Macaca fascicularis: one gene and its partner. The protein of the gene in region 2 binds, or shares a complex with, the protein of the main gene of each other region. Links are inferred from orthologs where the notes say so. Each region holds a gene or a part of one and is shown on either strand. Other genes may lie near its edges.

The links. Proteins that work in one complex are often made in the same cells at the same time.
Region 1: the proteins of NRP1 (region 2) and PLXNA4 are in contact, whole or in part, in a cryo-EM structure (PDB 7M0R), measured with the Mus musculus proteins. The link is inferred for Macaca fascicularis from reciprocal best matches to the Homo sapiens genes NRP1 and PLXNA4. Residues at the interface, in NP_032763.2 of Mus musculus: Arg80, Tyr84, Asp126, Tyr127, Glu128; in NP_786926.2 of Mus musculus: Glu272, Lys340, Lys343, Lys345, Leu349.

What each region holds. Positions count from the first base shown.
Region 1 is NC_088377.1:174,113,901-174,118,181, reverse strand, and holds the start of PLXNA4 (plexin-A4), read left to right. Parts: upstream 1-1,412; 5' UTR 1,413-1,461; intron 1,462-4,281. UniProt on the Homo sapiens protein: Coreceptor for SEMA3A. Necessary for signaling by class 3 semaphorins and subsequent remodeling of the cytoskeleton. Plays a role in axon guidance in the developing nervous system. Class 3 semaphorins bind to a complex composed of a neuropilin and a plexin.
Region 2 is NC_088383.1:34,085,963-34,090,098, reverse strand, and holds the start of NRP1 (neuropilin-1), read left to right. Parts: upstream 1-1,228; 5' UTR 1,229-1,445; exon of another isoform or gene 1,446-1,455; intron 1,456-1,575; exon of another isoform or gene 1,576-1,604; 5' UTR 1,605-2,070; coding exon 2,071-2,143; intron 2,144-4,136. UniProt on the Homo sapiens protein: Cell-surface receptor involved in the development of the cardiovascular system, in angiogenesis, in the formation of certain neuronal circuits and in organogenesis outside the nervous system. Mediates the chemorepulsant activity of semaphorins.

The DNA.
Region 1 (4,281 bases), on a different chromosome or scaffold from region 2:
ATGTGGGGGTGACTTGGTGGGGTGTTGGGAGGGGTTCTGAGTAGGAATGGGTGTATGCCTCGGCGTCAGTGTGCGCTCGTGTCAGCTCTGAGCACCTGAGGGTCCCTCCGACGGCCAGCGCCCAGAGCTGCACCTTCCGAGGCGGCTGGATGCCTCCCTCTAAGCGCGCGCCTTGCGCCCGGGTCACCCATGTATGCCCCCCTCTCCGCCCCACATCGCCACTGCCAGGGTGGCTCCGTGCGGGCCGAGGGGACCCAGGGGGGTGTCGGCAAACATTGGTAGGGCGAGAGCCGGCGAGCCAGGCGGCGGCGGGTGGGAGAGTGTAGGGAGGCGCCCCCTGCCCCCTCTGCCAGCAGCTCTCCCTCGGTCTAGATGTCAGCCGCGAGCTCCGAGCCAGCGAGAGCGAGCCAGAGAGGGAGCGGCGGCGGGCGGCGGGCGGCGGGCGGCGGGGAGGAGAGGAGGCGAGGCGAGGGAGGGAGGAAGGGAAGCAGGGAGGGCGGGAGGGAGGAGAGGAGGACCCAGAGAGCGCCAGGCAGCTGGAGTTTTTGCAGCGCTTGGCCGGGCTTCAATGCACAGCAGCAGCGAGCCGCGGCGGCAGCAGGCAGCCCGGGAGCTCCGGCGGCGGCCGAGCCAGCGGCGGCCCCGCTCCCTGCCCCCTGCAAACTTTGCTAGCAGCCCGCCCGGGGGGCCGGGGGCGCGCCCGGGAGGCCCGGCTCGGCCCGCGGCCGAGCTCTCCTCTGCCGCAGCGCCAGCCGCCGCCACCACCACCGCCGCAGCCCCGCGCCTCCCCGGGGAGCAGCCGGCGGCTCCCGAGGCCCCCCAGCCCCGGCCCCAGGGCACTGCCCGGCGAATCCCCCGGCAAGGGTGGGGGCTGCAGCGGCGCGGCCGGCCGCGGGCTGCCGGGGGGCGGCCGCCGCTACCCAGAGAGGCGCGCAGAGGCGCCGAGAGCGCTCCCCGGCGGGTCCCCCGCGCACTCGCCGCGCCCGGGCAGCGGCCCGACCGGGCGAGCATGGGCGGCGCGGAGTGACGCCGCTGTGCCCGCTTGGCATCAAGGACATTCAGCCCGCGGGGGTGGGGACGAAGGGGGGCAGCCCCGCGTCGCCACCGCAGCCCCCGAGAGCCGCCGCCGCTGCTTAGACTCGGGGGTTGGGTGGAGAAAAGGGGTGTTCGGAATCGATCCCCATTTTCCGACCTTCTTGTTGGACATTACGCCCACCTTGGACGCCGCAAGAGGAGCTGTCAAGCCCCGCAGGCTCTGATTCGGCGCCCTCCGCGTTCCTCGGTTGCTCCCGGCTTCCCTGTGCCTCGGTGGAGTATTTGCGTTCGGGGCTGGGGCTGGAGGAGGCAGCCACACGCGCGCACACGCACACGTTCAGAGGAGGGCGAGAGGCAGCGGCATAGGCTCCATCTGCAGTGTCAATGCGGCGCTCCCGCTGAAGGAGGGAAACGCGGCGCGTCCAGGTAAGGAGCCGGCCAGCCGGGGAGCGGGGCCGGGCGGGCGGTGAGGGCAGCGCGGTCGGAGAGACCCGGGCCGGGTCGGCCCGGGAATCCTCGGTGCCCTGGAGCCAGCCCGCGGCACACGCACACACACACACGCAGGCACACACACAGATCCACACCGGCACACACGGCGCTCGCGCACCTGCCCACGTCCCACCTGGACGCCCGCGGAGGTGCAGCGGCCGGAGCAGGGATTTCCCGGGTGCGTTCTCCTCTCACTCTCCCGGACTCAGACTTCTCTTTCCCGGACTTTCGGGGTGGGATTCTGTGTATTCCCGGCTCTGCCTCCCACCCGAAAAGGTTGAGGGAGCGATTTTTTAGCTCTCAGCCCCTTTCATCCCTAGCTGGGCTTTAAAACGGGAGAAGTCCTGGGAGGTCTCCGGAGACCCACCCAGTGTCATCGCGGCCCCGTGGCCTTTGGACACCCTGGGATTTCAACGGGAGACAGAACCACAGATATTCGGCCGCCTATTTGGAGAGAGTGATGGCCCAACGCGTGGAGAGGAGGCCACATAGGCGGTTGGGGCTGCAGTTCTGTAGGGCGGTGCATATGGAACAGACACTGCGTTTCCCCAGTAAGAGGCAGCACAAACGCCTTTCTGAAGCGTGGCACTGCTTCCCCGGGAATGCGCCGAGATTTCAGACAGAAAGCGGCTTAAAGCATCGCCGCGTATGTTGCTTGTCTAGGGAAGGTACGGGGGTCATATCCTCCTTAAAAGGTATGACCTTATTCACAGCCTCAGTCCCTGCTTAGCAGCAAGGAGACAGGGCTTGGAGACACAGGACTTGGGTCCCCTCTCACCTCCCTACCCTTCCTTGGCACATGGGGCTGCCTTCCCCGGTGCCTCCGGCTGGCGAACACCTGTCACATGCCTTTCGAGGTGTGTGTCTGAGAAAGATAACTAGAAGGGGGAAGCACGAGGGGTGTAGTTCTCCAAAAGAGGAGGCTTCCCTCCCTCACGACCGCGGCGGGCGGCGGTGCCCACTGGAGGAGGCAAAGCATTCATGGGTCTGCCAGCGTCCCCCAGAGCCCAGGGCTGCTCCGAGTGTAGAACCACTCCACAGAAGCCAGTTCTTTAAGGTCCTATTTCCCGAAAGCATTTTCGTTCTTGTTCTCTCTGGCTGGAGTTTCACAGGCTGCTCATTTTAACTTTTTCTGGAGGAGGTAGGAAGTGTCTGGGGTTCTAAGAGGCTTTTCCATAGTTCCCTTCTTAGGGTCTAAGAGCAACTCATTTAGGGTCTCAGTTGTCATAGGGAGAAGAACATGAGCTCCAAAACAAATTTGGAATTGAATATACATGTACAAGCTCCTGCGTTTCTGGAGCTGTCCCTTTGAGGTACCTTTCTGGGCAACCTGATCATATCATTCTCCCCCAGAACTGAGTAAGCTTGTACCCTCTGTCCAAGATCATGTGTTCAGAGTATCCCACAAACCCACCAGTGGGAAAAATATGTTACGAGTCTTCCAGAACATGATGGGAGAGGAGCAAACATTCTTTTAAACAAGGAGGCCTCAGTGCTAGGCTCAGAATTTGGGTTGTTTTTGTAAATCCTGAAGATGGGGGCTGAATGAAACGGCTTTTTCAGCACCCTGACTCCGCTATTTCCAAACTTTTTTCAGCTCCTGCAAAGGTCTCTGGCTAGGCTGGGGAGAAGCGCAGACGCCCCGGGAGGGAGATTGTATTCCCGCTGTGTGCTGTGTGAGCTGCCCTTTGATTGACTGAAAAGCGTAGATGGAATAAAGCAAATCTCTCACAATGGGGAGACCCCAGTAGGGGGAAGAAACCTTATTTGCTTTTTAAGCATGGTGGGCGTGTGCACACACATACACACCCAAGATATATACCCACATGCGTTCTCAGAGTCTGGCTAAATGTGGTCAGCTCCCCTAGCCATGTGTGACAATGGGGTCCACCTCTGTCTTCGGGGCTGTGGAAGAAATGGAACATTTCTCCCCACATGCCCCTCGAGGGCGTGGACAGGTAGGTCCCACCTACTTGTACAGCAGCACATGGTTTGCAATAGAAATAATGAGCTCCAGCAACAGTGGGTGCCTCCCAGGTAAACAGTCCCTCACGAGACCTGGAAGAGGCAAAGGGATAGGGTACAGGATCTTCCTGAAATGTCTGCATCTTCCCTGCAGACCTCCACTCCTTTCTCTGCTTTCCTCTCTACCCTCTTTCCTTTCTCATGTATTTGCAGCCTCAGGATCCATCATTTTAATGCAAAGCCAGCAGTCATTATGCTGGTTATAAGCTAAACATCTGGGTTCAAACAATCTCCGCACTTTCCGCACTTAGCATTAGGTACCAATTTGGTTTCTAGGACAAGGCAGGCATTAATTAACATCTCTGTAAAGCGGAGTATATATCACGTTTTCCTGGCTCTCTTGCCCAGCCCTGGAGCATGCCATGCTGTCATTCACCCTCTCTGCCACTCTTCTGTGCCCTTCCTTTTAAGTTCTCTGAGGTCTTTCTCACTGGGAAGGGATTCACACTAGAAAAACTCCAGCCATGAATGCTTCTTTTCAGCAGACCCTCACTGCCTGGTAGATGGTGCTTAAGGCAGCTCTCCTGTGAGCACTAGGCGTGGGTCACCTGCAAGCTGCTCCTTCTTGCCCAATCACACCCTCCCGGGGCTCTCCTCTGTCCTCCCAGGACTTCACCCTGGATGCCCACCGGGACACTGCAGACATTTCTGGAGGACTCCAAGGCAGTCAACTTGTTTCCTTTCTCCTTCTCTGTGCCTTTCTGTCGCCTGCTGCTGCTACTCCCTGCAGAC
Region 2 (4,136 bases):
GAGAGAGTGGCGAGTGCGGGCCCCACGGGTGCACCCCCCACTGACCCGGGACCCGCCTGCACCCCGAGGGACGCGCGTCACTGCGCCCAGCCGGAGCCGCGAGCGCGCAGTCCTGGCCTGGGGCCCGCGCGCCTTGGGCTTTCTCCCTGCCCGCCCCTTTTTCTTCCGCCAAAACCTTTGACCAGAGTCTCCTTGCCAGCATTCCTACCTCCCTTTGGCCAGCTATTTGTGCCAGGTAGGAATCAGGCTGCACTTTGGCTGTGTGTGTAGACGCCAATCCCCAGGAGGTGTGTGACCTTTTCACCTTACCCACAAACTCCCTGGGAGGTGGCCCGTGGGCATTGACCCTTCTCTGGGGACAGATCGGTGACCGCAACCTGTTTGTTCCCTGAAATGTCCTTGCTTTTCCCATCTACACACGCTTCCTGCAACAGTTCTCGGAAAACCCTCGGAGATGGGCCTGGGGGGCATCCAGCGGGCTGGGGGCACGGGCCGCTGTGGGAAGTGGGGGTGGCAGGAGCTCGAGGGCCGGCGTGCACGTTGCCTGTGGTTGGGAGCGGGCACTGTGAGGGCGCAGCCAAGAGCACCCCTCCCCCGTCACTCTTTCCCTCCCTCCGGATGAACAGAGAAACGGAGGTCACCCGACCCCTGATTTCCACACCCCTCCCTAGCACCTGGGCTCCCAGACAAGGTTGGGCGGTGTCGGGAGGCGCTTGCCCCCCAGCTTGGAAGGCGCAGCACCTCCCCCCTCCGGTGTTCCCTCTGCCCCAGAGGAACGGGCACCAAATCTCGGGAAACAATGAAGCCTCCGCGGCGCGCAGAGGGCACCCGGGAGCGATCGGCACCCAGCCGCGCGCCCTGATGCGGGCCAGTGAGGCCGCGTGGGGCTGTAACCCGGCCTCGCCCGCCAGGCGGTCTGACTTCGCTTCACACTGCAGCGACACTGCCACCCCTCTCCCGTCTTCGCGGTGCGGCTTCCACTCCAGCCCGGCTTTCCCCTCCTCGTCCTCCAGTTCTGGGCGGGGGCCTCCAGGGGTGCCCCACTGCTCCCCGCCACAGGTCTCAGGCTGGCGCGATGAGGAGTGGCAGGGGGTGACCCTGCGCTCCTCGCCGCCGCGGGCGCGGGCCCCAGGATTTGAAGTTGCGAGAAGCAGCCGCCACCTCCCGGGCGCTCCGCACTGCGCGGCAGCGGGATCTACGCCTCCAGGAGCTGCCCAGCTCTCCCTCTAGGGGTGCAGAGCGAGCACGCGAGGTGGGCTGGCCAGACTCCGTGGCTGGCACCGACCTCCGCGCCCCTTCCTCCGACGCCCGCACCCACGCGCCCGGGGCGCAGACTCCCAGCGCCTTCCTTCCCGCGGAGATCCCTGCAGGATCTCCGGGAAAGACAGACAGACGGACGGGGAGAGCACTCGGAGGGAAAGTTGTTCCTCCCAGTCTCCTGTCAGGCAATTACAGGCGAGCCCGAGCGGGGAGAGGGGCGGGATGAAGCGAGGGAAGGGCTCCGGAGTGGGGGGAGGCCGCAGGAGGGGAGGAGGGGGTGCAGTTGGTGAAACTCCTCTGTCTCCCGCTCATCTTTTCATTGCTCGTTCCTCTCCTTCCCGCAGACACCCGGACCTCCCCTGGGCGCCAGCTCCGCGGCTCCAACGGGTCCAGAAACAAGCCGGATTTTTTTTTTTTTTTTCTTCCTGGAAATTGGCTTTGGTGTGTGTTGCCCTACCTCCCTCCTCCCCCTCCCACCCACAGCCCCCCCTCCCTTTTTTTTTTTTTTTTTTTTTTTTTTTGAGACATGGCCCGGGCAGTGGCTCCTGGAAGAGGAACAAGTGTGGGAAAAGGGAGAGGAAGCCGGAGCTAAATGACAGGATGCAGGCGACTTGAGACACAAAAAGAGAAGCGTTCCTCTCGGATCCAGGCATTATTGCCTTGCTGCTTTCCTTTCTCCAAGACGGGCTGAGGATTGTACAGCTCTAGGCGGAGTTGGGGCTCTTCGGATCGCTTGGATTCCCCTCTTTGCTGCATTTCCCCCCACGTCCTCGTTCTCCCGCGTCTGCCTGCGGACCCGGCAAAGGGAGAATGGAGAAGGGGTTGCCGCTCCTCTGCGCCGCGCTCGCCCTCGCCCTCGCCCCGGCCGGCGCTTTTCGCAACGGTAAGTGACAGGCGGAGGCGCGGGTGACAGCGGCGCCCAGGCTCCCAGCTGCCCGCCCCGGACCGGGGCTCAGGCGGGGCTTCCCGGGATCAGCCGGGAACAGCCGACTCCCGGGCAAAGGAAACTTTTATCTGGGAGGAGAGATGAAGAAATGAGATCAGGCGGTTTAGGGCAGGAGGATTTCAGGTCTTTGGGCTCCCTCCTGACGTTGATCGTTGGGCTGCGGGGCTTTTCCTTACCTCTGCTACAAGACAGAGCTGCCTACCTTCCCGGATCAGCACGCCAATTATCTTAATAATGTTTCCTCCCAAAGGCAATTAGAAGAGACTCCCTTTCAAAAATCTGATGGCTGTTGAAAGTTAATGAACACTTTACCAGGAGATCTTACTTCCTGGTTCCTTTGCTGTGCCCCTAAGCCGTTTCCTCTGGTGGGTGATGGCCAGAGATACCGGTTTGTGGGTTGATGAAACTCCCTCCCCCGCCTTTGTACATCTTCCCTAATCTGTCTGGAGTATGACTGAAAGTTACATAGTGTCAATACAGGAATCTGATATATACAGTGTAAGGCACCAGGATATCTGAAAATCCCTAAGCTAGTTGCAGCTTCCACTCAGCTTTTAAAACCACTCACTGTCAAGTAAATGAAAAACTATACTGGGGTCTAAACAGTACCATGTAACCTAAATAATGTGTTTTAAAATGGGATCTGGTTGTAGGCATGTTTGACTTCACACTGTAAAGTAAGTGCAGGCAAGGGTATGCAATTATCTTTACAGTAAGTCGTCAGCAATTGTTATTAACTAATGATCAAATATTTACTTTTGTCTGGCTTAGATTTCAATCACAGTAATTAGAAGAAAAGAACATCCACTACTTACTGTGGTATATTGTTTTAATAAGAGACCGCGAGTGGAGGGCCTCATACCAACAGGAATTTAAATCACATCTTTATGATGGAAGTTAATCTCTCTAATATGCTTTTTCAAGGTTTTGTGATTTCAGCAATGGATTTCCCTCAGCAGCTACCAAGCAGTATTCTAAAGAGATGCTTAAAGCAAAACACATGCAAAAAAAATTATGAACATGGAGTTCAACTTATTAGTGAACCCAAGTTGATGGCATTTTTCTATAATCTGGCAGGAAAGCAAGACACAAAAAATTATGAATGTAGAGTTCAATTTATTAATGAACCTGAGCTGGTAGCATCTTTTTATACTCTGGCAGGGAATGAAATAGCATTCTCGTCCAACTGAAAGAGCTCAAATGGTTGGACTAGAAATTATAGTAACCCTGTCCTCCACAACTCTTTGAGAATAAATCCATAGCAGGGGTGTTCACAAGCTCAATGCAAAGAGCTATCAGACTTTAGGTTGTAAACTACACAAATATATATGCAGTACACACACACACACACACACACACTTCTTAATTTTCTTAGCAGAAATGTGGGGAATGCTGAAAATCTGGCTTTAGTTGGTGAGCTTGACCAGCAAAAGCCATGTTGCTATGCTTGAAGTGACCAGAGCCAGAAAATGCCACTGTAACTCAGCAGAACCTCTTAAAGCCATGTCCACCTCCTCTAAGTAACCAGTGTCTGCTAAATTAGTTCATTAACCTTATTTAGGACTAATGGTCCAGAGTCATTAGAAATTGCTCTTTCTTAATCAACTGCTAGAGAGATTTAACAGAGCCAGAGAGTCTAGCAGTCCACATTATCTTATTACACTGTCACTTTCTCAGAAGTCACAGATTAAAGAGCTCTGGTGTGGTACCAAGTCCACCTAAATGTCTTCTGAAGTGACTCTGCTGAGTGACTAGAACCAGGGCTGTTTTATTTCACTCCTGTAACAGATGCCAGACACTACCATGATGTTTGTCCAGAGCTGGAGGAGACTTAATGAGACGAGGTCACTTTCCAAGTTTTCTGCACATTCAGAATAATGCAAGAGTCTCAGTAGAATCACAGAACAGAGTCCAACATGATCATTAGCTG